Drosophila melanogaster: one gene and its partner. The protein of the gene in region 2 purifies or fractionates together with the protein of the main gene of each other region. This does not show direct contact. Each region holds a gene or a part of one and is shown on either strand. Other genes may lie near its edges.

Region 1 (16,823 bases), on a different chromosome or scaffold from region 2:
TGCTCTGGGGTCAGTCCTGCGATCTTTCTCCGCATCGACATCATGCTGGCCTCCCTGGAAAAAGAAGAGCACGCATTTTATTCCATTGACATGATTTGGAACTGACTACGCCATTTTAAATTAGTGTATTCTGAACTCACCTGCACACGTTTGTGATGTCAGCTCCGGAATATCCCTTCAGCTCGTTGGCTACGTAGGTAAGATCGACGCTATCGTCCACCTTGACCTCGCGGAGATTGATCTTGAGCAGCGCCTCGCGACCTTCATCCGATGGCAGTGGGATGTAAATGCGTTTTTCCAAACGACGCCGAAGCGCTTCATCGATGTCCCAAGGAAAGTTGGTGGCGGCCAGCACCATGACCACCTTGGCCTGTTCCTCTCCGCCGCCCACGCCGTCCATTTGGACCAGCAGCTCAGACTTCACTCGTCGCGAGGCCTCGTGCTCTGATTCCGATCCTCGGCGCGAGCACAGGGAGTCGATCTCGTCGATGAAAATTGTGCTGGGCGCGTAGAACCTGGCCATCTCGAACAGGAGCCGCACCATCTTTTCCGACTCACCTCGGTACTTGGACGTCAGCGTGGCCGAGCTCACGTTGAAGAACGTAGTTCCGCATTCGGTTGCCACCGCCTTGGCGAGCATTGTCTTGCCCGTGCCTGGAGGTCCCACCATTAACACGCCCTTCCACGGTCGCCGGATACCCTGTTGTAGAAAGCAAGAAGTGATTATGTACTTTTGCTTTAAAATGTTTACAAACTTTCAGTATATATTAATTGTATACTTTCCGATTGTTTTGATCTGAACCACTGTTTTAGGCTGTGTCATTTGCCTAATTCTAATTAATTAAATAATCTACATTGGAGAAGTGAGTACCATTTCTTCCAATCAAACATAAATATCTAATTATCTACTATCCACGTTAAGTCTATCTTTCTTGCTATTGTTTATTCAGTAAGATGGTAAATCGAAAAATGGTGCTGTAGGCTTCTCTGATGCCCATTTCAAACATCTTTCGCCCACGCAAAATTTCATGGTATCCACATTTTAGATGGGGAAAATATTTGTTGGACGGAAATATTTGAAAACAACAAATATTCTTACATATATGGTACAACACGGTCAACATAGCAATCGAGCTCAGTCTCAGGTGTTTGGATCAGTGATTTTTAATGTGACTTAAAGGCGTTAGAAACACATGGTCAGCATTCCATATATATACATAATATATACATAATTATTTATTTTTTTTCGACAGGTTATTATGGATCGATATTCTTTTGAACGCACACATAGTTTGATAAGATAACATAGATAGAGGTACATCATAATCAGCATAATTTCAACAATGGAAACTTTTAAACCGCCCCAAGTAAAAGTAGAATGTGTTGACAAGTTCCACCACCTAGTTAAGAGGGATAAAGCTGCAAGGCGATGCATTTCGTGACAGTTCAGAATAGTTGATCAAATACACATTGCCCTGAGCACTATAATAAAGCGCGTTTGTTGACCCATCGCGAGATAAGCGTTTGGCAGAATGTGATTCACAGAAAACAAACAGCGGGGGTGACGCACCTTGAAGTAGTCCGGCATGAGCATTGGCAGCACGACGGCCTCCTCCAGCAACCGCTTGGCGTCGTGCAGGTCGGCAATGTCGCTCCAGCGCACTTTGGGATCCTTTTGAAGAATATCACGTTCTGAAAAGAGAGCGTTGGCATGTAATAAATGTAGCTATACTAGACCCAAATTTTCATAACTACTACCATTTTTGAAATAGCCACAAATCTTAAAGCAAGTAGAGTAATGCATTAGCTTTGCTTAATAAATAAGACTAGCACATCACCAAATTTTGAACGAGGCAAACCTTGCGGCAACGATTTAGGCACCTACCAAGAATGTCGACTAGCTCGGCTTCGATGTGGTTGTTGGGCTGAAACTTGCGCTCTTCCTCTTGGGCGGCCTGCGGATCGCCGTTTTCTCCATCGCCAGCCGCTCCGCCATTGTTGCCTGCAGCGGTGGAGTCGTCGTCCCTAGCCTCGTTGGTGTTCGATGTGGATAGCTTGCGACCGCCAGCCCTTCCATTGGTGGTGCGTGCTCCGCCGCTCGGTGCTGTGGCGGACGTTGAGTTGCGGGAATTGCGTGTCGAGGCCGGACCATTCCGGGCAGTGCTCTGCGGGATTGTGCTGCTGGGGCGGCTGTTTTGCGTTGCCGGAGTGGTGCGGCGGTTGTTCGGTGCGGCTCTTCGGCCAACGGCCTGAGTGGTGGGTGGTGGCTTCGGCGGACCCCACACATCTGGATCCTTGGGCGGAGGCGTCCAAATGTCGGGGTCCGGCTTGAACCAGGCAGATGGATCTTTACTGGTGGTGCTTTCTTCGCTGAGCTGGTGTCGCAGCTTGTGTGCAAATTTGGTTGACTGTAGGTCCAGCGAGATGTCTTGTAGGGTTCTCTGAATGGCCTTGATTTTGGCGTGCTCCTGGCTAATCTGCTGGTTGATCTGCAAATCGAAGATCAGTTAGTTAAATGATGTCAATGAAATCGTCCGGTATGGTAAATATTAAACTTTTTGAAAATACTTGGTTTATTATGATCTATTGGAGTTTTAGCCAGTTACTTTGTGCCAGTAGTGCTAGAAATTACTTTGTAATTCAAATTTTAGTCATTCGGTAGTGTTCTGATTAAATTAAATCTTTATATGCACGTTAACGATCTAGATAACTCGTTTACACAAAACCTCTTGGGCAATTTTGAATGGCGTTGACAAGATGTTATGACTAAGTCCTTTGTTTGTCATAACCGTCACCATTCGCATTCATTGGCATGGTAGTTGACAGTATCTGGAGGTGGTGATAGGAATGTCTTACCATGCTCCACTTGCCCTTGCGTAGCGGATCCGCGGTGGCCTTCAGCTGGCGGGCGAGCAGCCCCTGGAGGCCCTCATAGTAGATGCAGGCTGAGTCGTAGTTGCCCGTCAGAGCCATGTCCCGTGCTAATTTGGCATTCTCGCATATTTCTTCAAACGTAGTCTTGGCCATTACGGTCATTCCTACGCAAGTGGTTGTCTTTTGCTTGCCACCTCGCAGTAACTGGCGATCGGAACAGGTTGTCGTCATTGTAGCCAAAAACGAGAGACAGAGATTAGTTCCAATTAAAGCGCTCGAGTGCGTGAGTTTCTCCAAGTGTTGCTGGGTGGGAAGGGGAACAATAGAACGGAAGCGACTTCGTCATTCGCTGGCTCGCCTTGCAGGTAAAAATGGAAAGTGCGCCTCCCAGCCAGAAGCGAATAAAGTGGAAAACCCGGCGACAATTGCGAATAATAGAAGATGCCAGTGGCAACGACCCAAGTGAGCTGCTAATTATAAATTATCAGGCGCACAGCCGCCGACTTGTCACCAAATTTAAACGCAACGCGCTCCGATTTTCAATTCCGCCTCCAAGGCGGGACGTGGGCCAAATGCCGATTGGAAAATGTATTAGGTAGTTATGAGCCGAATAAGGCGTTCGACCTTGTTGGCTTTGAATGATTCTTTCAACTCGACTCAAATCGTCGTATGCAAAAAAAAAAAAAAAAACAAAAAACACAATAGTAAAAACAACAAAATTAACGCTCGCACACACACACGCACACTCAGCTCAGGTTTCAGCGGCACACAACACACACTTTCGCACACACGCACACGGGCGCACAATGGGTCGAATTAATGCGATCTAAATAGAATTTGAGTTAATTGCAAGCCTCTGGACACAGCAAACTGCACTTTGCATTCGACACTTCACCGTATTTCTTATTCTTATGCTTCTTATTTTATTTCCAGCTATGTGGGGGCGTCTGCAGCTGCAGCAACCACAAGAGCAACAACAACAGCAGCGCTGACGTCTCGCCGCCGCACACCTACAATTGCAGCTGAGCAGTTCGCGGGCGACTTACGGTTATGGACATTAGTGTACTAGCTTTGTTACGCGGCGTTCCGAGCGCAAAATGAATGCGTAAACTATTTAATTCAGAGTTTAAGGTGCTGCGGTAGCTAAAATAAACTGCTGCCTGCCTGTGTTTGTAATACTAGTGATGTGCGTGCTCTGGTGATGCGGGGCTTATCGATACATCGGCGCGGACACTTGACCACCCTGTTGCGTTCCCTGTGTGCAACAGTCGGCGACTATCGATTGTTTCCAGAGCTGCTAAAAATATATTTCTAAATTTACAACGAATTACAAGAAAATAAAAAGAAAATCTCCGTATCGTGTCTATCGATTATAAATCAATATACAATATGTAAGTATATTTTCCAGTTCTAGAATTTGTCTCCGAGCCACACATTACCATCCCTGAGCGCCACTGCAATAAAAGCTATATTAATCGCTAAAACATTTGCACTACTGTAACACCAGTCTGGCATCGCTGTGATATAGATAAGGCCAGTACGACAAGTCATCGGTTATCGGTTCTTAACATTTCGGCTTAACGTGCTTAAACTCATTTAAATTTAGACACCACTCAAGCGACGGTGCCGCAATGACAACGCCCACGCGCGCCACCCTGGAAAAGGCTCTGAAAAGCGACCAGAAGCTTGTGAATTCCGCCACACAGATAGCCAAGGGCAGGTTTACACCCGCATCCGTGTCGAATGTGCCCTTCTCATAGAGATTCTTTGTTTCCTCCAGATCTGACCGCCAAGGCATATGACATATCTGCTCTGGCCGAGGCACTGGGCTTCGCCCTGTCCTCTCCGGACATGGAGGAGCGTGTGGCCGGAACCAACTTGCTCTCCGCCGTGTTGATAGCACTGCCCCAGGATCTGCTGCAAGAGCGGCAGCTGGAGTTCCTCAGCACCTTTTACATGGACCGCCTGCGCGACCATCACAACGTAATGCCAGCCATTATCGATGGAATCGACGCCCTGGTTCACATGAAAGCTCTACCGCGCGCCCAGATTCCCCAGATTCTGCAGTCATTCTTCGAGCACACCACCTGCCAGTCGCAGACGCGGAGCGACCGCACCAAGCTGTTCCACATTTTCCAGTACTTGACGGAAAACTTCCAGGACGGTGAGCCCTGATTTCATTTTAGCATGAAAGATACATTGACATTGCTTTAATCCGATTTAAACAAGTCAGTGTGCAAAAAAGTTATAATTAGATGATTTTAACTAGTCGAACAGATATTTGCGACAATCTTAGTACCTTTTATTTCCGTTATTTTTAGAAAATATTACACAATATTACAACTCAAACAAATCAATTTTCTTCCCGATACAGAGCTGCAAGCGATGGCCGGTGACTTCGTCTACGGCCTGATCAATTCCATTGACGGCGAGCGTGACCCCCGCAACCTTGACATCATTTTCAGCTTCATGCCCGAGTTCTTGTCAACGTATCCGCTGCTGCATTTGGCCGAAGAGATGTTTGAGATCTTTGCGTGTTACTTTCCAATCGACTTTAATCCCAGCAAGCAGGATCCAGCGGCCATAACCCGTGATGAATTGTCCAAGAAGTTGACTAACTGCCTGGTAGCCAACAACGAATTCGCTGAGGGCACAGTGGTACTGGCCATAGAAAAGCTGGAGAGTGAGTTGCTGGTTGCCAAACTGGACTCCATAGAACTGCTGGCAAGAAAACGTAACATTTTGAAATGCCTCTTTTTATACATGCTATTTATTGTTACAGCACCAAGCTGCCGTGAAGTTCCCGCCTTCCGTTCTGGAGCCGCACTTCGATCAGATATGGCAGGCTCTGAAAACAGAGACTTTTCCAGGAAATGACAATGAGGAGATACTGAAAGCTTCCCTTAAGGCGTTGTCTGCGCTCCTGGAGAGAGCTGCTCACATACCGGATATAAGCCACAGCTACCAGAGCTCTATTCTGGGCGTAATTCTACCGCATCTCAGCGATGTCAATCAGCGGCTCTTCCATCCTGCCACCGGGATCGCCTTAGTTTGTGTATCGGGAGATGCGCCCTATGCAGCGGACAAAATCCTCAACAGCTTTTTGCTCAAGCTGCAGGCCGCAGATGCTAGTTCTGAGCAGCGGATCAAGATCTATTACATAGTTAGCCAAGTCTATAAGCTATCTGCGTTGCGTGGCTCTCTCCAGAAATTGGACACCACGATACGCGAGTCTGTGCAGGACGATGTAATCGCCTCCCTACGCCTAATTGAACAGGAAGAGTTCGATGCCAAGAAGGAGGACTTGGAGTTGCAGAAGGCGGCCCTTTCGGTGCTTAACGAAAGTGCTCCTCTTCTCAACGAGAAACAACGCGCTTTAATTTACAAAGCTCTGGTTCAGCTTGTCAGCCATCCGTCCATCGACATCGATTTCACCACACTGACGGTTAGCCTTGGAGCCCTGCAACCGGTGGAGGTGCAGTCAAATTTCATTGATGTTTGCGTGCGAAATTTCGAGATTTTCTCCACATTTGTCAAACGAAAGATATACACAAATTTATTGCCGCTCATGCCTCAAATAGCGTTCACTCAACGCATTCTAGATTTGGTTATGACACAGACGTTTAACGATACTACTGCAGAGCCCGTCCGTTTATTGGCTCTGGAAGCATTAAACAAACTGCTCCTGCTAGCGGATCAGCGCTTTATCGTGGACGTGCAGCAGGAGTCCAATCTTCTTCACAAGCTCATCGAACTGGGCCAGAAGACCGAGGGTCTGTCTATGCAGTCGCTAGAACAGATTGCGGGCGCTTTAAGTCGTATCACGCAACAGCTCCCGCTCTCCGAACAAAGCGCTATAGTAAGCGAGTATCTTCCTGGACTCAATCTGAGTCAATCGGCTGATTTGTACATTACCAAGGGCCTGCTGGGCTACCTTCATAAAGACATAACCCTGGATGACCACTTCGAGCGGCTTCTGACCGATTTGACGCAGCTTTCGCTTAATTCGGACAACGAACAGTTGCGTGTAATCGCTCACCACCTGCTCTGTAGCATGGTCAACAAGATGGAGTCGAACCCAGCTAATCTAAGGAAGGTCAAAAAAATCACGGAGCAACTGAAGGTGGCTATTAAAAAGGGCGATGTTCGGGCGGTGGAGATCCTTGCATGGGTGGGGAAGGGCCTAGTAGTCGCAGGATTCGATGAGGCTGCCGATGTTGTTGGTGATGTATGTACTAGTATAGCCATTTTAGTTCTCTAGTTCTTATTCGTGAAATAATATTGTCTCATTAAAGCTCTCGGATCTACTAAAACATCCCAGTTTGAGCACTGCCGCTGCCTTGGGATTCGACATCATTGCCGCCGAGTACCCAGAATTGGATTTGCCTGTCGTTAAATTCCTCTACAAGCAGAAGCTTTTCCACACTATCATGGGAAAAATGGGCAGCAAACTTGCCAACTACTGTGTGCACCACTTGAAGGCTTTTGTCTACGTACTGAAAGCCACGCCACAGGCGGTTATTAAGCTAAACATTGAGCAGCTCGGTCCGCTGCTTTTCAAGAGCTTGGAGGAGCACAACGAGGCGCAGTCGCTGTGCATTGCATTGGGCATCTGTGAAAAGTTTGTGGCGCAGCAGGACACGTATTTCCAAGGGCATTTGGCCCACCTCATACCCAGCTGTCTGGAGCTGTCGAAATACAAGGCTCAGCATACCATGGTAAGTTAAACATGCACATATTATTATAAAGATTTGATAGTTAATTGAGGAGGTTTCTTAACTTGTAAAGGAAAATGTCGAACACAAAACTTAAACTCATTTTCTTTCTTATAGCAAGTGCGAATTGCGGCGCTGCAGCTGCTCTACGATGTGACAAAGTATCCTACCTTCGTCCTGTTGCCCCACAAAGTCGATGTTACTCTGGCCCTGGCCGCCGCCTTGGATGATCCCAAGCGTCTGGTGCGGAACACAGCGGTGAAGGCCAGGAATGCGTGGTACCTGGTCGGTGCGCCTAGTCCGAATTAGCAGAGAAACAACTCCGTTCTTGTTAATATTATAATCCAATAAGCACACGCACAAATTCTTCATAATTTTCTTGTTGTTTTTATTAGGGTGCGTTGAAGAATTTTTGATAAAGAATTTGGAAAAAGCAAAATTATAAAGTAAACGCGAAATTGTATGCATTTTATATTACTTAGATACATTTACGAACGTTTATGCGCAAATGTATTAAAGTTTAAGATGTTAAGAAAGAAATGCTTATTTCTTTTCTTAAAGGCACCTTTTTCTGTTTTATGACTTGAGACTCTTACAGTCGGTTACTAAAATTTGTATTTTTAAACTGTACGTGTTTATCAATACCAACTGGTAACCAATCTGAAGTGTCTGTTCAGTATGGGTGTTCGCACTGGGAACGGGCCATAAGAGCGCACTTTTGTGCACGCTGCACCACCTCGGGACATCGACGTCGTCTCATAAAGCGGCAGTCTTGAAAGAATCCCTCGTTTCTGGGAAAGCCGTGCGTGAAGTCCTGGAACGTCAGCAATCCCAGGCCCCAGATCTTGCCGCCTCGAAACTCGCCCTCGTACTTCATTCCATCGGCTCTCCAGAAGATCCCATTACCATGAAACCAGCCCTGATGAAACTCGCCTTCGTATCTGTCTTAAAAATGTGCAAAATGAATCATCATATACAATTTTCTTCACTGGATGCAAACCCTAGGTAAATTATAGCTAAACCATTTCTGATCAAGAATATATATACTAGCATTTCCTCTTACTCCCCGAGTAGTGGCTACAAGAATAGTTTTCAAGTGCTACAATATTTCGTTTAGGTTTACATCACTAATATTATTGAAACTGACTTTGCTCCATCCGCGAACCAGAGGCAGCCCACTCCTTGACTAAGACCCTCCTGGAACTGCCCATCGTAGCGGGTGCCATCGGCGAACTGCAGATGCCCGATGCCGTGCTTTTGGCCACGCTGGTTCCACTCGCCGATGTAGCGACTGGCGTCCTCGTATCGCCATCCGCCCACTTTGACCGCCCCTGCGCTGTACTGGCTTTGACCCTGGCCCTGTTGGTGGTGTCCATGCTGACCCTGCTGGTGGGGGTGCTGTTGGTGCTGGTTCTCGATTCGGGCCGTGGTCACGCCCACGCTGCTCACTGGGTAATGATTTTTACGCAATTTTGTATCTGCATCCTTTTGTCTGTGTTCACTTACTGTCATCATCGTAGTCGTCCATGGCCATTGCTCCGCTACCGCCCGCGATGCGCTTCAAGCTGCTACTGAGCTGGCTGGTTCTGCACCAGAAACACTCATTTTCTATGGCTTCCCACGGTGCGACGGCCCTGGTCTAAATCTAATTAACATATTGCACTTCTACACACTGACAAAGTGTTTGAAAATCAATCATCAAAATCACTGGGTCAAATGTTCCAGTAATTGAAGCAGTTATAAATATTTCTTAACAGCCAATAATACTCTGGCACCCATATTTAATCAAACCATTTTAATCGAATAATTTGAATACATCTCACATAAATTCAACATTTTTCTTGATCCAACCAACCATCAATCTTGACCAACTGTTGCTGCGGCCAGAGCTGTCATGGATTCAATAATAAACCCAACCAGGTTTTAATTCTTGTACAATTTATTGTTATTTTCAATTAAAGCGGAATATGTGGATGCAGACTTTTTCGTGAGATTACAGATGTCTGAAATGATTATACTATATAGGCGAAGCTTTGAAACTCAACGACTCCTTATCGTGACGGTTGAAGAACATGGAAACAGAATTAATTGTACACAAAGTTACTGGCTAAATTATTAACCTAGATATAGTCGTATGCTTGTATATAATTGGACTCAAAGCAAGTCTAGGCCAGCACAGCCGAAGTGGCCATTTCGCTGACGCCGCAAGTGTTGTCACCACGATAAACGCGATAATAGCCCTGCTCTCCCCAGCGCGGACCCCACGAGTTCTTCACAATCCAGTAGGGCAAGGTCTTGTGGAAATTGGGATAGTCGGAGACGCCATACCCCACAACTAGAACACCGTGGTCGAGGTTTTTCTTGGAGCACAGGGCCTTCCACGGATGGGAAACTCCGCCGCGATAGAACTGCATAGCATTCGCATTGATGCCTAGAGAAATGATCTGGTTAAGTGGGCTTTGGGGTTAATTTTCTGCATCGACTTACCGATCGAAATGGGACCATTGGCGAGAAGCCACTCCTGCATGGCGGTCTCATTTCCCTTCGGCAGATCCACGAAGCCGGCAACCTGAACGTGGGACAAAGTCCTGTTGAAGTGGCACTGATTCTTTTTGGCCTTGTATGGGTACTCAGCCTCGTACTCTAGGCCGCCAATATCCTTAATGGCCCTGCGGAGGAATTATTACATAAGTATCTACATCGTAATGTTCATTCCCTCGTAACTTACTTGTAAGCATTGTCCATGAGGCCGCCGTTGCAGGCACTATCCGTGGTATCACAGTCCAGCAGCTCCTGTTCGGAGAACTCTTTCAATTCGCCCGTTTTCACTGCGTACAGGCCTTCGATGTTGCCGGTCACACTGAAGGCCCAGCATGAACCGCAGGATCCCTGATTCTTCACCTGGGTGACAGCATCCTTCTGCCTCCAGTCAAACTCCTTCGGCAGTTCACCATGGTAAGCCGGTACGACAGCCGCCGATCCGCCAGTGGCCTTTGCCTCATCACGCTGCCAGAGTCCCGTGCGTTCCTTGTATTCCGAGCTGGTCATATCAGCAAACTCCGTGATGCCGTACTTGGCGCTGCCCATCTCGTTGGCGTTTAGCTCCTCGATAGTCTTCAGGTTCTGACGGAAAATGCGCAGGCGCATCTGGCGCTCGGCGGTGCTTACGTAGCGACGGCCAAATCGCACCTGGAACTTGTAGAAGAGGTGGTCCACCTTGTCAAAGCGATGGCTGTGCTTCTTGTGCGTCTTCTTCTCGGCCCACTCCACGGATCGCGTGTGTCGGGCCTGGACCACCGGCTGGTTGCGGCACTTAAAGGTGATTTCGTGCTCATCCTTCCTCACCCAGACCTTTGTCCAGATATCCACGATACAGCGGTGCTGCTCCTCCGACCCGTCGATTAGATCCGCATCGATGCGGGTCAAGATGCCTGAATCCACTTGCCGCGAGGCTGAGTATACTTTCACAATTCTAGAGCACAGCAAACGAGCGAGTCAATTATAATGAATCAGACAAATCTACTTAATGCTTATTAATATAATAAAATGAAGAAAATCCTACAAGTTCTTCAAAAGTGTGTACGTTACATTTTTGAATAGTTTCTGAACCTTACTTCTCTACATTCTGCATGTTTAGTCTTAACTTTCTAGCTTTTATGGTTATGACCAGATCAACTCAGATTGTAACTCTGTTACGCTAAATCTAGCATACCCTTTGCTCTTACATTATTGGTTTAGTCACTTGAATTAATGGATACAAGCTTACTTGTAATGGGGACCCTCTCCCGCGGTCAGTTTGTCCAGAGATTTTTGCAGCTGCGCCTTCGCCGCCTCTTCATCGTAAGGCTTATGCCTACCCAAGATATCGTTCGCGCTGCGTCTGCTGCGATGGACCTGCAAAAAATGTATACATGCATAAAAATCTGGGACAATGTTGATAACATAGTAATCTAGCTTAATTACATAAACAGTAACTGCATGGCCATGGTCCAATCATCCGTCTGTTCATATAAACAAGAAATGCTAGAAAATGTAGTTTACGCATTCTACTGACGCAGATGCAGCACATGACACACAGCAATTGCAATAAATGAACTTTTCCTCTCGAATTTTCTTTATTTTTTGCACATTTCCATCAAGATTCCACTTCCACTTCATGAGTAATGGGTATTTAAAAGCCTTTCAAACGGATGCCATTTAATTCCAGGCTAGTTCCAACTTTTTATGGAATCTCGGAAATATTCCAATCTCGATTTATAAGCTCAGTAAACCATAAAAAGTGTTCACCATTGATTGTTTAATTTTAATGTCGCTAAAACGTCGAGATTAACGCGAACTACTCGTGAAAATATAAAATTTTACAATAACATGCTTTTTGGGGCTATATCTTCGATTAAAATATTTGTTTTCGTTCTCCGTCCACGTAGAGCGCATACAATGAAGATTCCGTCTGACCAAAATTTGGAGAAGCGGTTTCACGAATCGAACTACTTGAATGCCAACTGCTTCGAATGCGAAATGAACTAACTGCGCTGTGGCCCAGAACCATATCGGTGAACAGGAGATGGGGATCGAGAATCAAAGACCGCATTCAAAGGGCACAATGTAGTCGTCTAGCAGCCGCACGCGGCGGAGTCTTCCTTGCGAGTCCACGCCCACGTCACCGCCACTGGATGCAGTCTGCTGTCCGACTTTGAGCCCCTCCTCCTCCTCATTCCTCAGCTCAACCTGGTGTCGCTGCACCACCAACATGCCGGCTGCTATTGCCGCCTCCTGGCGCAGCCATCCGGACATGATCCAGACACGGCGAATGCAGGTTGTCAGTGCGAATCGTTCCATAATGGAAGGAATCTCTGCACAAACCGTGTTTATCGATCAATAAACTTTAAAAAAAAATGTTAAGTATTTACGCACCTTACAAAATATTAAAAAATATATGTCTAGTGGCTTCGGACTGAGGTAACCGAGTAATGTAAACTGAATTTGGACTGGGACGCAAACGACATTGACAACTTAGCTCGACTCCAGGCCCTACTTTGACCTTTATTTTCGAAATGTTTTGCAGGTAGTCCTTACCTCCTTTTATATACCTTCATTATTTCTTTAGGCTTGAATGGGAAACAGACAAGTGAAGATTCCATTAATCCTATACAATATATCCCACCCATACATTCCACGCATCACGCCAAAAGACAAGCCAAATCAGCCCTTTGTTTGCTGTCTGTGAGTTCGCTAATCTTGTGCTAATTACGGAACAGGGAAACACTTATCCATTACAAACAGACACACAGCTGTCACCACATCAGACCTCCGACACCACGAGCAGTGGTGGGTAGGAGTGGAGGGAACATAAGTTATATGCGAATGTAGGTAAAACAAGGATATGTCTGAATTTACATTACCGAATCTGACAAAACGACACATCGTTCTAGTACACGTGGCTGGAAGAGTTTGCGGCAAGGAACATGGCGGTCCAAAGGCATCTCCCATCCCCCAGAATGTGGGATACGCCAACAATAACATCGACAGACACAAGCGGCCCATAAACCATTCAATGCTGAACACAAAACCAATTAAACCAAACATTTCGGCTGGATATTCGTTTGCCGCCTGGCATCGATGATGGTACGAGTAATATGTTGATGCCGTTGATGGGAGTTGGTTTCTGAGGATCCGGAGCCCCAGTCTCTGCCAAATCCACACCCACAGCCAGGAGCCAAATGTCTGCTCCTGCTGTCACACCCGGGCAACTGGCATGGCGAATGCGAATAAGGATTGCAGGTGGAACCACACTCGAAACATTTTATGGCCTACAAGGGCTAGGAAAACATGTAAGTTGAGGAGGAAAAGAACGAATTATATCTTCTATACTACTGTTTGCCCTTGGAGGGAGTTATCCATATATACTTATTTATTCAAAAATTCCAATGTGCGGCTTTAGAAACTTTCAAGCCGAAATGCAGTGCAAATACTTTTGAAGTGCAGGAGGTCACCTATGTAGCGACAACAATACCGAATGGAATGTAATGGCTACGACGTGTGTATAATTAAAAATACAGGAACACAAAAAGAGGCCGTCGCTGGAACTGGGAGTCCGTGGTCATCCCTATAGATGTGTGCATACTGTGTCCGAACATGAATTCATTAAGCTGCCTGCTAAGCACTCCCTTTTCCAGCCTCATCTCAGTTCAACTGGCCTGGCCTACTATCCAACCCATTTTAGCCCATCCCATCGCATCCTATCCCATCTCATTCCATCGAGACGGGGGGAACTGTTAATTCAAATGTGTATTTCAATAAGAATTATATCGTAAATGATGTTTCCACGACCCTGGGGCAACAGAGGAGAACCCTGGGCATGGAGTATGTGGCTCCTGTGGGTGGGAGCAGTGTGCAATGGTCCGTGAAATCCATTCGGATGTATAGACAGTGAAGTGCTGAACGCGGCGCTATACTTTCTGACAGTTGCCGTAAATCAGCAATGCAACTGAACTGAATGGTTCTCGTTTTCAAAGCACTTAATTAATTTATTCCGCGATGACTTTTCCAGGAGCTCATTAGGCACTTATATGGGTTGGAAATAATGTTGGCAAAGGAATTTCCGATTGTTGAACATGTCCAACGAAGATTGAAGCGAATTATCGCGTTCAAATGTAATTTATTTCCCTCTTCGGCAGCTGGATTTAAACAAAGTAATTAAATAATGGATTTATTAATTGGAAGTCAAAAGTTACACTCCCCGCAGTGGCTATTTAATTCCTAAATCCGGTAAAGACCAAATGCCCCTTCAGTTTAAATTCAATATGGTACAATGTAGATACTCCTGCTCACAAAATTTCCAATCAATGGATTGCGATCAAACGGCTCACACTTGGAAAACCCACGCTCTAGAGCAGCGTCGCCACCATTAAAATTGCAGATTGTGTCATTGATTACTTAACCCCTTATGCTCTCGACGCGAAGTCGGGTGGAAAGTGGCCACCGACCGCCGGAGACAAATCGCCCAGACCCACTGTGCGTGGCACCACAGAGCCAACTGCTGTAAAAAGTAGAGCACAAGGATAATGAGAACACTTGCCTCGCACCACTCTGTGTATTTCAGCTTCTGTCGACACCGCGGGCACTACACGGCGAGCGGGAGGGGAATCCTGAGCCTCCACCCACTTAACCTCTCATACATACCGGCACTTGGGGCCAACCCAACCCCAGTTCACAGCCAAGACATATAGACAGGTGCAGATGGCCCCTGCACAGGTGCCACGAATACGGCTAAGATACGGCGGGTTAAACAGATTGCGGCCGTAATTTGAGAGCGGAAACTCATTTGATTATTAAGGTGAAATAAGTGTTCTGCCATGCCGACGAACCCAACCATCATCATCACATCGCCATCGTCATCAGGTGAAAAGGCAGGCTTAAATAAATTCAATTAAATAACATTTTCCTTTTTTATTGTTCGCATTAGGGTGAGTATGTATAATGAGTGGGCTGAGTATTTATATGAGAAAGACAGAGACTCTGAACGATGGGGCTGGCTGTGTGTGTGAGTGTGTGTGTGTGTGTCTGGGATGATAATGAGAATATTCATGATAATGCTGTCGGTATGGTAGTAGCCTCCACCTCGGGATCCTTCTGCTCCCGGCCGGCCTCCTCCTGTTGCTGCCCCTTCTCCTGACTCTTCTCGAAGTCATACGCACCCACCGATAGGAAATCGTCGAGCCAACGCTTCTCATTTTCGTTCAGCTCCGTGGCGATTGTGGTGGTGGCTACGACCTCCTCTTCGTGCTTGTCCTCCACCTCTTCTGCCTTTTCTTCCACATTATCAATGCTAATTGCCGTGGCCGTCTCATTAGTGGCGTCAGGTGGACTAAGCTTGGTGACTGCTATAGATGCGGTTAATACAGCAGGAGCTGCCGAATCCAGAGGGGCAGCCTCGGCAGGAGAAGGAGCAGCAGGAGAAGGTGCACGAACAGGAGCCGCTGAAGCGGTTTTGGTCAGACTGACCTTCCGCCTCATAGGTCCCAGGTTAGTGAGTATCTGTGACTCCAGATTGGCCATCTCTGCGTCGCTCAGTTCTTTCCTCTGACCGCCATTAAAGATGCTATTACTCACATATTTCTCGTTAAGCAGTCGCGCCTTCTCTGCCGGATCTCCGGCCACCGAGTTCACCGCTGGGTCGGTGCAATTGGAGGTAACCAGTTCGCGGTGCTTGTCGCCCCACTGGGTGCGCAGCCAAGGCTTTTCCAGGATGACCAGGCGGCAGACTATGTCCGCTTCCGCCGGCTGTATTGCCTTTGTGTCTAGCGCGTTTAGCAGGATCTCATAGCGCACTCCGGCGGTGATTTCCCGAAAGGCGTCGATGATATTCACAAAGTTCATCGACAGTGGCAGGAAGGTCATCGCAATGTTCTGGACACCAATCAGGTTGGGTGACAAATACTCCCGCTCGCCGGGATTCAGAACGTGGACCAGCGTGATCGGGGGCTCACTCACCGCCTGGTCCGTTGTTGTTTCTGAAGATTCCGTGCTCTATTTGTACGGGTTTTGAGGATTTGAACGGATTGGGGTGTTTGGGGATTGGTATGCGTTGTGGGGAAGGACGAAACAAAAGGCAAAACACATATGAGGATACACACATAGAGATTTCGTTTGGAATTGTAGCAGGCGTTGATGATCGATCCAGATGCCAAATTGGAGTTAGTGCGTCTTTGTAAGGGAGTGGGTGATGTTTCAATGGGGCAAGCCAAGCCGTGTGGTGATTGTGTGATTTACTGTTAAGTGCGGCTAACAAGCATAAGCCAGTTCACCATCAACATGGTTAATCCCACAAATTTAATTTAATTTCGATTTATACCAGTATACCGGGTTATTAGACCAGTCAACCCAAATTAGTTCTCCCATCAGTTTAAACACAGAATACAACAGGCATGGTTTTTGTTAAATTAAACGCTTAATTATCATTATGATTTGTGATGCCATCGATCCTGTTCAAATAATTTTGATTGATTAACCTATTCTTCTTATTAATAGAAATGTTATGCTGGGAGAGCTTGTCTAAATGACTAAACATTTTGCAATGCACGTTGCACCTAATAAGCCACCAACCATTAGCAAGAATATCCCCTTAATTTCCAATTCAGGAAAGCATTACAGCACATGGGGGTTTAAGGTTAATTTCAAATGAAAGCATTGCAAGCACCACGACCTCCTCCCCCAAAGGCTCAGTTAATCGAT
Region 2 (13,609 bases):
AAAGAAACATTTAAAATATATATGTATTATACATTTAATGTAACATTTAATTTTAAAAGGAAAAGCTGACTGTACTAGAAATAAATTTTATTTAAATTTAAAAGATTTAATTAAACTAAAAATGTATAAAAATATTTTGATTATAAGTGAATGGGTATTGAGCTTTCAGTGATCACCAAACCCAGTTACCAAGTCAACGTACCGCCTACTGAATAGTTAGAGTATCCGATATGGAGGCGCCAAAATACTCTACGCTCTGTCACTCGATTAGCGGCTTTTGTTGTTAATGATATGCAAATGAAATATGAATGCGGGCAAATGCCGGCAGAGCAGTTTGCTTTTGGATCTGAGACGAACTTGAAACTCTAACAAAACACCAAGTGTCATCGTAAATGTCTAACGACTGCTGCCGATTTGAGATAGTTATAGTTTAGCGTGCATTTAAATAAGTTTTGAAACCTTTGGCATTTTGGTGTTATCCAAAAAGTATACTATTGAATATAAGTTTTTATTAGCACAGACTATGGTGTTAATGTAGTGTGTGTGGTAAGTAAGCCAAAACAATTCATATGTATATAATATAACAGCTTATAAATCACTCCAACAAATACCAAGTTTTATACTCGTTAATCGTAGAGTAAGTGGGTACTTTAGATTCGATGAAAAGTTTGTAACAGGATGAAGGATCTGCGATCGATCTGCCAAGTGTCCGTACGTCTGTCTGAACTTTGAGGTCTCCGGAAATATGAAACCTACAAAATTCGAATTAAATATGCAGTTTCCAGACTTTGCTCACAAACTTCAAAAAAATGTTACGCCCACTATTTTTTAAAAATTGTTTGCTCGACTATAGCGTTTTCTCTGCTGTTTTCACACTGACTTACAATTGCATTAGTAAAAAGTTATTTTTATCGATTTGAATACCCGTTTTAAACAAAGGGTATGAAACAGAAATTGTTAAATTGTTGTTATAGATGATGGTTTTTCTTGATTATGATCGTTAAATGTCCTTCAATCATATCCTTGGATTTATGATGCTAAGGAGTTGGGATTTATTTTTTTGATATTCCCCACGGTTATTTTTTGAATTCTGATCTTGGTCCATGTAAACCTAAGCAACGCAAATTTGACTTTTAAGATTGTTTTCTTTACATCTTCGACGTTTATTTCATTTCTACATTTACATTTTTACGATTCGTAATAAAGCTTTTCATATGTATGTTGGCACATTCTAGTCCCGATTTCGATTAACCAAAGACCTTCTTGAGGGCGGGCCTGCGGTACTCCTGCTCGACATACTGGGGATGGGTACGGATGTACTCCAAGCTCCTAAGGATGGCAGCTGGGATTGGGGGAGGAGTGGGCAGGAGAGCTCCCTGTGGCTGGTAGCCGTTCTCGTCGGCCACGTACGAGATCTGGACGAGCTCACCCTCTGGCGAGTACCACGAGAAGCCTCCGTTGGCGTGGTTTCCACCAATTCCGGACTCCTGGGCGGCGATGCCGTTGCTGGTCTCGTACTGGTAGTTGTAGTTGCCCTCGGGCTGGATGTCGGAGCCGATCTTGGTGATGTAGGCACCAGCTTCCTGGTTGTAGGTGGCGGCACCGTAGGCGCAGGCCAGGACGGCGGAGGCGACGAGCATCTAGAAGACAATGTTATTATTGCAATTTGGTTTTTGATGAAATTTCCAATGTCTTGAAAGGCCAATTCTATCCATGGTATCTAAGTCCGGTAACTGTTTTCTATTTTACTTATTTTTTGTGTTAATCCTTATCGTTAGTATAAACTATTTATTATATTGGTTAATATTTTGATATTTTTAGTGTCACTAATTGTCGTTTTCCACTGCTGTGCTATAGTTATCCTTGCGATATACTTACGTAGCGGAACATATTGGCTGATTTGGAGGAGTTCGTGTGTCTGCGACTAAGAGACGACTCTGAATGATGACTCTGTGGCGGGGCAGCAATGTTTTATACGAATTCTCGATACGAAACCCGATCCACCCAAACAACTTTTACGGCAGACGGCAGGAAACTCATATGAATGACAATGGCCAAACTGAGATTGATCAAACTGGAGCGGCTTAAAAAGGTAAAGAGCCAAAAAACGCACTTAAATTTGGCTCTTAACTTTTGCATAAGTATTCATCTGGCAAGATAGTTATATTTAACATCAAATTATGCATATATTAAAAAAGTCATATTCACATATATTTTAATAGTATCTAATAAGTTTTAATTAAGAATTAACATTTTTTAATTGATTAAATTCAACAATCGATCCTTATAAAGTATTATACGATTTATTTCACCAAATTATGGTACAAAATATTAAAGATGAGATAATCAACTCGTTATCATTTTGAAATGAGCAGATTAATTAAACAGATTAAAAGGGCAGTTTAATAAACTAAACCCATGATACTACTGGTAAAACTCTATTTTTTAAGTAAGCAATTGTTTTTGATTAGTTATCTAAAATATATTTGTTCATTTTAAAGGCCATAAAAATAAACAGTTCAACCTGTGTCGCAATAAGGGAACATATTTTATTTAAATAAGTGGTGTCAAGTAGATGGTATTGGTCGGAATAAGTACTACAGATCGTTTTATAGGGCAAGTACCCCTATAATTTCAAGGACTTGATAGTTAATTTCTGCTCGACAACGGATGGAAAGTTTGTGGTATTTAATTTGGTTCTTAAAATCTGACATAGAATTGCCTGTATATTCGCACTATAAAACAAATAGGAAGGTAAAGTAAGCATATCCTTAAAAAAATAGTTTTAACAAGAAAATTTGAGAAAATTGAAATATTAATATAGGTAATAATAAAGGTGCAATTGAAATATGTTTGCTACGTTTCCTCGTGGGATCTTAAACCATATTTCATATATTAAGCACCCATTATTCTAGTTCATCCAAAATGTTTGAAATAGTTTAAACAAACATAGATTTATGTAATTTTTTTCTTCTTTATTTTAAAACATTTTTTAAATCGTAATAAAGCTCTTTTAAAATGTTATCACATAAGACTTCCGCTCCCGCTTAACCAAAGACCTTCCTGAGGGCGGGCCTGCGGTACTCCTGCTCGACGTATTGGGGATGGGTGCGGATGTACTCCAAGCTCCTAAGGATGGCAGCTGGGATTGGAGGAGGAGTGGGCAGGAGAGCTCCCTGGGGCTGGTAACCGTTCTCGTCGGCCACGTACGAGATCTGGACGAGCTCACCCTCGGGCGAGTACCACGAGAAGCCTCCGTTGGCGTGGTTTCCTCCAATTCCGGACTCCTGGGCGGCGATGCCGTTGCTGGTCTCGTATTGGTAGTTGTAGTTGCCCTCGGGCTGGATGTCGGAACCGATCTTGGTGATGTAGGCACCAGCTTCCTGGTTGTAGGTGGCGGCACCGTAGGCGCAGGCCAGGATAGCGGAGGCGACGAGCAGCTATAAAAGCAGGTGGATCCCAGTCAGTTACAAATTGATCATAGACGTTTTTGGATTGAGTCCATAGGAGTTTAAAATATTTTAAGATGTTTAAAATATCTTAAAGAATTCTAAACACAACTCGTTTTAGGTCGAAGTAAATATCCTTTTGACTTACGTAGCGGAACATCTTTGCTGGCTTGGAGTGCGTTTGTCTAAACTGAGAGACGACTCTGAATGGTGACTTTACTGCAGACTGTTTAGGTTTTTATACCAATTGTCGACATCAAACCAGATCCACCGAAACAACTTTTACGCTCTGCTGCAGGAAACTCATCTGAATAACAATAAAATCGAATAGCCGAAATTGGCCAAACTGGAGCACTAAGAGTGACTTGAGAGCCAAAGAGCTACGCACAAGTTCAAAAATCCACTCTTTTCGTTTTCAATCAAACCAAGATGTGATGCACATTCAAACAACTAAGGTGAAGATATATAATATAATATATAAATAATATATAAATTGTATATGTATATATATATATATAATATATACAACTATGTATGGCCTTTTCAAACATTCATTTCACATAATTAAAGAGTTTTTCAAATACTTTAAAGCTTAATTTAATAATTAATTTAATAATTAATTTTATGTTATGTTTGTATGTTAACTAAGTTTATTTAGGTGCTTAAATTTTCTTTAAAATGTATTACTTGATACACATTATTTTCCTTCTTAGGCACCTTATTTCTAGATAAGGTCCTACCAGCTTGACCGCTGCTGTGCGTGTGGGCATTGCAAAGAGCAAAAGTTAATACGAACCCCATGCGGCAATGTCAATGTCGCAGCCACATAGGTCGGCTTGGAGGTTCGAGATCCGCAGACTCCAGTTTCTGGTTCCAAATTCAGTTTCAGGCGGCGCACCCAAAAAATTGTATTAATTAAATGCATTTAAAACACCGACCAGTCTCGATACAATTTTAGCATAATTTATGGTTTTACTCCGGTCTGCTCAATGGTTAACTTTTCCAGTTCGATAAGTCAAACCTTTTCTTGGCTCTACGCGTGTGATGAAGTCCGTCTGAGGTGCTGAAATGTGTGCGTTTAACAAATTGGGCCATTAAAGTGAGTTAATGCCTAATTGGTACACAAGTGAGATATCAAACTGGATTAACCCGTTGCCAGGCGCGCCTAATCCGCCTTATCCAAAATCCAAATACTACCAAACGTATCGTGTCACCAGCGGCACCTTTAATGCGATTTTTCAAAATATTGTATCATATTCTAGCACAGTGGTTCGCAACCAGTTCTTCAGTCAGCAGGAAGCTTTTAAAATTAATAGTATCGAATATCTTTCTGAAAACAATCGAGTTTATGTTAATTTCTTTAGGTACCGATTAGTAAAAGTATATATGATTATATGACTTTCCACGTCTTAAAGTTGTGACAAATTGTTTCTTTTAATGACCTCTTAAATAATGTTTTAAATATTTTGAGAATAAATGAAATATTTGCATTTAATAAAACGAGTTCAATATCCTCACTCAAGTGCACTAAAAATGTAAGACATATTTTTCCTTATTTTGGACCTGGATGCTAAAAAATCTTTAATAAATACTTATATCATATTTAAAGCCTTAAAATCGTTTGATCCTTTAATGTCTGCCTTCTGCACACTGTGCTGATAGGTTTTCGATGTGCCAATGAAATTATTCAACCTGGGGGGGCATGGCCTTGGGCAGATATGTATCCATCCGATGAGAACACGTCGCTCGTAAAACTAAACTTTATGACACGCCAAGAGTGAAATAGTCCGTCTGCTCGGATCGATAGGAAGTGCTTGTGTTGCGTTTAATACAAAGTTGGATTTGTGTGTTTCGGTAACATGGTAACGTCGTGCCAAAGACATTCAAAAGATTTATTGAATTTAGGCACAGTCTTGTGGTAATTCTGAGAACAGATCGAACATCGATTACGTACTTAGCACCCTTGGATTTGCTGTCGTCACGAAGTCAGTCGGGGGATCCCCTCTGAACTTTATTCCCATAATTATGCATAGTGCCGAGATATGATTATGATTATTAATTTAATGCCACTTATTAATGCCGTGTTATGAGCAGGCTGCCTTTAAAAGTGTGGCTATAAAGTGATTAGATCTCTTAAAGCTTAGTCTTTAGTGTCACTGAATCAACCTTGTCGAAGTTTTCGCATAAATTTAAATTAATCATACTAAAATAGATTTTAGTCGCTCAATTTAGCCGAATGTTGTAAGTCGTTTAAGGGCGATATAGCCAAGTTTGGACAAGAAGACATATATGTATAGAAATAAATCCCAAAAGATAGTACCGACAAAAAAAGAGTAAGGTCGATTCGAAATGGCCAAAATGATGACATTTGATATATTTGAGTGACTACTTATTAACGATTATCTTTTGTAGTCTGATCGATATTCAAAAACTGCATCATTCGTTCGGTCAGCAACATTTTAGGCATAAACTTGTTCCAAATATTATAATATTTTTAGTAGACTTATTCGGTTTTCTCGTTTCTTTTTTTTATTAATATACAAATTGGCATCGCTATGAGATGCGCGTCAATGGCTTCGGCGGCTTCAATAATTCACACCGATTTCGGGCTATAGATATGTATAATTTCGTATATAATCTCTCCGTTTCGATTCAGTTTTATGCAGATCAGGCGTCAATATTGGTGCAAGTTTTGTCAACCATGCCGAAAAGAATTTATAATTTATTTTTCCCATGCCAATCTGCACATAAAGAGAATCGTATTTCTAAAGAGAACTGAATGTATCCGATTTTTAAGCACGGACGAAATATACACTATTTTAAATGAAATTGAAATATTATAAAATATCATATATTAGCAATCGTTCCAATTAAATTGATTTAAAAATATGCACACAAAACTTTTTAGTTTACCTTTCATTTGAAGAGTATTTTATTTGATTTTCTTAGATTTTATTTTGGATTTATTTCATTCACTTACATTTCAGGTAGGAACTTCATTTTATATTTTCTAAATAAATAGCAACTATTTTTTCTATGTTATATAAAAATACTTTTAATGACTAGGTCAATGCATACGCAACCCTCTTATTTCGAGGCAAATAATTTTATTCAAGCTGCTTTAAAAGGTTGTCATGTGTCCAAACATTAAGACTTCATTATTAGTGTATTAAATTGAATGCAAATTAATTGGGCTGAACTCGTGTGCATATTAATTGGACTAAAACTGAAACTGAAACCGAAACTGATACATATATTGCCAAATTTGTCATTTTGACTTTTAGCATTTTCCCATAACCTGTTGGCCTTCCGGGATGTCATAGAGCGGGTAATATTTAAATAGCTTTTAGCAGCGAGTTGCGAGATTATTAATGTAGTTTTCCAAAAATTAACTGACTCTTAATTTATAGGTCTCCTAATTTGAAGATGACTTTTAGCACCTTCCACAATGTTGTTTGCTTGAGAACCAATTTCTTGTTTGAAATTGAATTAAGAACATTTTCCAGACTCAACTAGCAATCAAAAAATGTTTTATATTTACGTTTAAATGCCCCTTAAAATGTCATATTTTCGTTACGGAGTTTTAACCAATGTTAATATTTACATTGAATATAATATAATAGTAATAATAAGAATAATAATGATATAGATTCGTATCGAAATAAAAGAGAACTTCTAAAGAATTTGAGAAAGTTAAGAGGCAGGCTACTGGATTTTTGTCAGTAGTGATTTTATTTCAAATAAAATTTTAAGTCAACACGAAATTTTGACCAAGCTTAATTTCTCAAGAGGTTGATGTACATACCCAGAAACGTAAAAAGTAATGTAAGCGAAATGTTTGATAAATATAAGTATTAAAAACATCAAAATTTGTCCCAAAGAAACTTGTCATATTACATTTTTGTTTTTGTATTTCGTTTTGTTTTTTTTTTAACTAAACTACAATGTATAAATTTCCAAATTAATTAATTTATTAATTAAAGTTTTTTATTATTTAAGTTTTTTGAATTTATTTCTTTTCATTTAAACTTTTAGCGGTAATCTATAGTCTTGCTAAGTAGCGCCAGAGGGCGCTTTTCCGGAACAGCTGTGACTCTGCTTCTTTATTGCCGTTCACCCGCACGCGTAACTGTGTCCATCTCGCTCGCACTCGCCTAGCTCAAAACGAGGCGAATTTTATCATTTAATTTTATTTTGACCAAATTACGAGCGCTGCGCGGAAAATGTTGGCCCACAGGATGCAGCTTTGGAGGACAACAAACGCGGCAATGGCCATGACTTCCGCAGCCGGCCGTTTCACCCCACAGGTGAGTGAAGATCATTGAAAAAGAGCCGGCGACCTGTGACATAACCTGCAAGTTGGCCAATGTTTGTGTTCGAAAATGTACGCAAATTTCAATGAAAACTCTGTTTGCCAGGCATCCACGGGCAGCAGGAGAGATCTCTACCTCCAAAGGATTACCAGGGGCAGCAGTCTGCCCTTAGCGGCCCCCGAAAAATGGTCCAATCTCGGCCAGCTTCGTTTCGCCAGCGGTGGAGCAACTGCAGCGGGAGTTTCAGCCACCAAAGGCGAGGAGTTCATGCAGGCTGTGCCGAAAACGGAACTAGTGGATCTGCCGGACATACCCGCCGCTCCAGTGCCTCCACCCGCCGATGGTCTGAATGTAATGGATGTGATGAATGCCGCTGGCGAACCCTCCTTCGCCTCCATTGGCTTGGGCGGCTGGTCTCCGGTGGGCATGGTACAGAACTGTTTGGAATTCTTGCACTGCACGTGGGATATTCCCTGGTGGGGAACCATCGCCATTGGAACACTCGCAGTGCGAACCATAATCTTTCCATTGGTCATCTTGGCCCAAAGGAACTCTGCCAAGATGAACAACAATATGCCGCAGATGCAGATGCTGCAGCTGAAAATGACCGAGGCCAGGCAGTCGGGAAACGCCATTGAGTCCGCTCGTTATGCCCAGGAAATGATGCTGTTCATGCGGGAGAAGGGTGTCAATCCGCTCAAGAACATGGTAGTTCCCTTGGCCCAGGCACCGCTCTTCATTAGCTTCTTCATGGGACTGCGACAGATGGCTAACGCGCCGGTCGAATCAATGCGGGATGGCGGACTCTTCTGGTTCACGGATCTCACAATGGCGGATCCCTTCTATCTACTGCCCTTAATCACCAGTGCCACGTTGTACCTGACCATTGAGATCGGAACGGATTCGGCTCGCTTATCGGCTGCCAACATGAACACCATGAAATATGTGCTCAGAGCCCTGCCCATTGTTATCTTCCCGTTTACGATGAACTTCCCCGCTGCCATTTTGACCTATTGGGCGTGCAGTAACTTTATATCGTTGGGGCAGGTTGCGGTGCTAAGGATTCCCTCCGTGAGGGAGTACTTCAAGATCGAAAAGATGCTGACCCATGCGCCCAGTGCACTGCCACCTAAGAAGGGATTCGTCGGCGGAATGAAGGAGTGTAAGTAACAAGGACTGTCCCGCTTCATCTTTTACCTCTTTCGATTTACAACCTTTCTGTTTTGACTTTTCCAGCCTGGGACAACATGAAGATCTCGAAAGAAATCGAGGAGCGACAGCGCCTGGACGAGATCCGATTCGCCAAGGCCGGCAAGGGTCCGCTGGTCAAGACGTACAAGTTCGATCCCACGAAAGTGGCAAAACCCATTTCCGCGGAGCCGCACATGCGGCTAAAGGAGCCGCCGAACAAGCAGGGATAGTTCCTCCATCCTGTAATCGCCGCTGAGCGCTGTGTCTTGTTACGTTAATTTAACCCCTTAGTCTATAGTCCTTCATCATCCGAACGTTTTGCTGCTAAAATATAATTTGTAAATGTACAGAGGCAAACTTCTTGCTGATGAAACCTGATTTGAGAAGTTGGAGACAAAGTTTTGGTAGATGTAATCGCTGTAAAAATAAACTCGTCATGGAAGATACGAATGTATATAAAAACATGATCAGCTATAAATGAAATTGGTGAGTGTTTTCAGTTCAGATAAGATACGGTCCCGAAAGACAATCAAATATACAATTAATTGCGGATAGCTAACGCATTACTATAAAAAATATGGAAATGCTCAGCAAATACTATTAGTCTCAGTTTAAATGCCGTGCAATCAAAAACCATCAATCAATCGAAGCCGGTGTGAATTTTCAAGTTGCTGACCTCGATTATTAGCTTTTAGTTAGCATAGGCTCAGGTAATAAATAAAAGATTTAATAGCAATTATAATAACTAGAGAAGTAGAAGCAAAGCATTTACATGTTTTTAATGGCAAACCATAAAGATTGGTTGGATAGTTTAAAAACCATTTTGGATTATTTATCTATCCAAACAAGTCTAGTCATAGACATAAAAACAATGATGATTCCTAACCATACGTGGAATGCAAACTTGAAATAGGAAATAATTTAGTTTCTCTGACAGACAATTCGATTTGAGTAAAAGGTTATTATTACTACTTAACCAGCTGAGAAAGAGTACCCAATAATTAAATGATGTATGGCGAATGTCCATGTTATTGCTACCTACTAATAACTAACAATTAAGATAATAAACATTACAATGTCTGAAAAATTAAAATCGATCCAAATTTCGGGAAAGGAAAACAGGCACAAACTGCTTTTAAAACAAAATTATTATTACTAAACCAACATCATTATATATATATTTATATATATCTAAAACGAGGATAAAATCATGTAGTTAACCCTTGGCGGCGATGCACTGGTTGATCACCTCGGCGAGGTGATTGTTCTCCAGGGCGGCGGCCACTCGTTCCTTGTCTGCCAGCTGCTTGTTCACCGCCAGCTCGGAGGCGTGGGTGCCGGGCGTTATTTCCACGGTGACCTTAAAGCGAGGTGGCAGCGAGCGGAGCAACTTCACCCGGATGGAGAGGCCAATCAAAGTGGCCATCGAGCAATGGGGAATCGTCGGGGTGAAGCTGATGTGCACGGAATTCTGGCTATCGTTTATCCGGATTAGATCTTCCTGCACCACATGCAGCTCCTCCAGGGTCAAAGGATGTTCCGGGTCATTAATATTTCTGATGAGATCTGGGAAATACGCGAGTCATAAGATATATTCCTTAGCTATCTTCTTTGAACTCACCGAAAATCTCTCGTTTGTCAAATGGATCGGGCACGTTTTCGTCTTCTTCGTTGGCGGTTAATACCCTTTCCTTGATTCTGTCGTAGACATTGGGGTTGATGTTCTCGATTTCCGTGGGCATTTTGTATTGTTCTTTTCTTGAAAACCCTTTATTTACACGTTTTTTTGGCGAAGAGCAAAGAGAAACAATAAGCTATGTCTTTCAGTGTGTCCGCAGTTTTTAGACTATAAGATACAAAATAACACCACGTCTAGTTTATGGTGTGCACACACTTTTTGGGCGCCAACATTATTTGAATTCGAAATTGATCTCATTTTCATAGTTTCATCTAACAGAGCATTTAATTAGTTATACATTTATGCGCATCTTACGCTATTAAAGTTAGTTAATGAAATCTTTTTAATTAATGACAGTAGCCTTTTTTAAGGTTGGAATTATTTGAATACAAATTCAAGAAAATCAGGGCAATTACTAGATCAATCAAATCACAACGTACACTTCCAGGAAAACATCGCACAATTGATATGTTTACCTGTCATCTTACGTAAAGGGCGTAATTACAGACGCCTCGCGATCCATATTTATGTGCTCTTCAAATTAGCTGCGGGAATACTTAACTTAAGTTAGCCGAGCTTAACTTTTTTGCGAGCCAGTGCTAAATGGCCAGCAGATGTGGATGTGGATGAGTCCGTACTTGGCTGCGCTGCTGACTAAGCCTTGAGCCCATTTCGCCGGCCAAACCCGCTTTTATTTTCCATATTTTTATTCCATTTTGCCGCTTTTACGAGAAGCAGCGTTGCCGAGAAGCCGGCGCACTTGACGCCGATTTCCTCGGGTTATAATTAGCCAGACTTATCAATATCAACGTAGAAAAGCAGATTTACATTGTGAACGGGTTTCCGCGCACTTGGCGTGCATCTATTCGCAATTAGCACCGAATTACAAACTGGTTAACAGCCGCTGCCAACGGAGTGGAGAAGCCTGCGGTCGCCCATTTGGGTTTATAAAATGGGTCGCCACTTGGCTGAGATCAGCAGTTTGGGTCACATCTCCAAGCGGTCAGCATGAAGTCGGTTGTAAGTCAAGATCTCAGTTCTCTTGAAGATTATCCCTGAGTTTTCCATACAAGCTATTGTAATCGGTTAATTAATGAGGGCTATAAATTTTATCTTTTGAATATAAAATACGTTTTAATCTATTTGTGTTGCACATTTTCTTAGATTATTCTCTTAGCCCTGGTGGCTTTCTGCCACGCAGCACCTCTGGATGTCAAGGAGTCTACCTCTGAGGAGCTCTCTAGGCCCAGTCCCATCAGCCCCGATGTGCTCGTTGATCCCAAGCCCACCGCCAAGGTAGTCTTGCTGAAGGATGCTCCCGTCCTGAATCGCCAGAGGCGTAATGAACCCAAGAAGCCCGACAGCGTGGAGGCCCACGAACAGCTGCATCACTCGCAGCCGGCCGTTCCTATTCATGACCAGAAGCCTTCTCCGGCTGGGCCACAGGACCACAAGCGCAAGAGGGAAGCTCACCACGAGGAGGGTCACCATGGTGACGATGCAGTGCCCCAGAAGGAGGAAGTGAAGCAAGCTCCCGAGGACCATGACGCCAAGAAGGAAAAGAGAGAGGCTCACCATGAGGAGGGTCACCAAGACCATGAGGCTCCTCATAAGGAGGAAGTGAAGCAGGCCCCCGAAGCTCATGATGCCAAAAGGGAAAAGCGAGAGGCTCACCACGAGGAAGGCCACCATGGTGATGATGCAGCTCCACATAAGGAGGAAGTGAAGCAGGCTCCCGAAACACATGAGGACAAGAAGGAAAAGAGGGAAGCTCACCACGAGGAGGGCCACAAGGATGAGGCAGGTGATCGTCCTCAGGTGGAGGATCTTTCGCTGCCCCATGCCCTGCCCGCTGTGGCCCACACCGCCGAGCTGCCCAAGAAGCAGGAAAAGCGCGAGACTGTGGAGAAACCCGACAGCGTGAAGGCCCGTGAGTCGCTCCAGCACAATCCCCAGCGATCCCAGGAGCTCCACAAGGCCATCGAATCTCTGGCCGGTGGAAAGGCGCCGGAACAGCGTCACCAGCGCGATATTCCCGTGCCCACGCAAACCAAAGCCACCACCACCACCGATCTCCCATCCACCACCAAATCGGAGCTGGAAAGCACCACTCCGTCCATCCACAATCTCCACATCCCCCATCCCATTCCCGTGGCCGAGCTCTTCGAGAAGAACAAGCACGCGGATAAGTCCACTTCCAGTTCCGAGGAAAGCAAGGAGAAAGCTAAGGCCTAGGCTTCCTATGTTAAGAGTCGCTAATGGGACCATCACGAGATTTGTAGTCAGCGAAACGAACTAAAATAAACACAAATATTTACATGCTTATATAAAAAGACTGGGCGTTAATTATTTAATAAATATTTATGTGGATGGCTGTCTGTAAAAAGGCAGTTAATATAATAGGCAAAGTAAAAAGTGGTATCTACTGCATTTCAGGCATTAATTATGGGTAAAACTTCCAAGAATTAATTCAATTGTAATATAATTTAATATTACTTCAAGGGAAATATATGAAGCTTTAAATGTACTTCATATTTGTTAATAATACTTCTACACACGTTGGTAATAATAAATTTAAGAACCTTGTACCGATTTTAAACGCCTTCAAGCGCACTAAATTTTATGCGTTAAAGTAGCTTCCTGGTAACAAATTTAATTTGTGTTCTAGACAAAGGCGTACACAGAGAATTGTTATTATAGTAAAGCTGTATTGCAGTTTTTTTTAGAATTTTTCCACGTTATAGGCAGCAATTTAAATGCGAGACTCCACGGATTTCCCCGTATAAATTCGAGCAATTTAACTTCGCGCTTCCCGTAAAAAAAAACATTGAATATTTACGTAAGCACCTCTTCGCTAATTATTCACTAAATATTTATGGCATCCACGTAGCTAACTGCTATTTTATTCACTACTCTAATGTAAGTAATCAGTAATATAAATATAAACAGCCAGACTTAATGTAACAATAAACAACGTA

Evidence for each region.
Region 1: the proteins of galla-2 (region 2) and Mms19 purify together in Drosophila melanogaster (affinity purification with western blotting; one study listed by BioGRID). This does not show direct contact.

What each region holds. Positions count from the first base shown.
Region 1 is NT_033777.3:5,228,137-5,244,959, forward strand, and holds Mms19 (Mms19), read left to right. Parts: upstream 1-4,406; 5' UTR 4,407-4,505; coding exon 4,506-4,590; intron 4,591-4,654; coding exon 4,655-5,038; intron 5,039-5,248; coding exon 5,249-5,598; intron 5,599-5,656; coding exon 5,657-7,102; intron 7,103-7,169; coding exon 7,170-7,592; intron 7,593-7,706; coding exon 7,707-7,898; 3' UTR 7,899-8,152; downstream 8,153-16,823. Other genes in the region: Kat60 (katanin 60), read right to left, coding at 1-54, 141-700, 1,571-1,692, 1,886-2,489, 2,857-3,177, 3,921-3,932; rtp (retinophilin), read right to left, coding at 8,263-8,530, 8,737-9,037, 9,096-9,123; CtsF (cathepsin F), read right to left, coding at 9,755-10,020, 10,077-10,258, 10,318-11,061, 11,356-11,483, 15,702-16,118; CG33293 (uncharacterized protein), read right to left, coding at 12,168-12,428. UniProt on the Drosophila melanogaster protein: Key component of the cytosolic iron-sulfur protein assembly (CIA) complex, a multiprotein complex that mediates the incorporation of iron-sulfur cluster into apoproteins specifically involved in DNA metabolism and genomic integrity.
Region 2 is NT_037436.4:10,880,049-10,893,657, reverse strand, and holds galla-2 (galla-2), read right to left. Parts: upstream 10,769-13,609; 5' UTR 10,696-10,768; coding exon 10,575-10,695; intron 10,520-10,574; coding exon 10,170-10,519; 3' UTR 10,085-10,169; downstream 1-10,084. Other genes in the region: Cpr67Fa2 (cuticular protein 67Fa2), read right to left, coding at 1,248-1,640, 1,879-1,890; Cpr67Fa1 (cuticular protein 67Fa1), read right to left, coding at 3,048-3,440, 3,598-3,609; OXA1L mitochondrial inner membrane protein, read left to right, coding at 7,673-7,756, 7,868-8,924, 8,999-9,183; CG6409 (uncharacterized protein), read left to right, coding at 11,640-11,651, 11,796-12,866. UniProt on the Drosophila melanogaster protein: Component of the crb-galla-Xpd (CGX) complex which is essential for proper mitotic chromosome segregation in early embryos. The CGX complex is also required for cell proliferation in developing wing disks.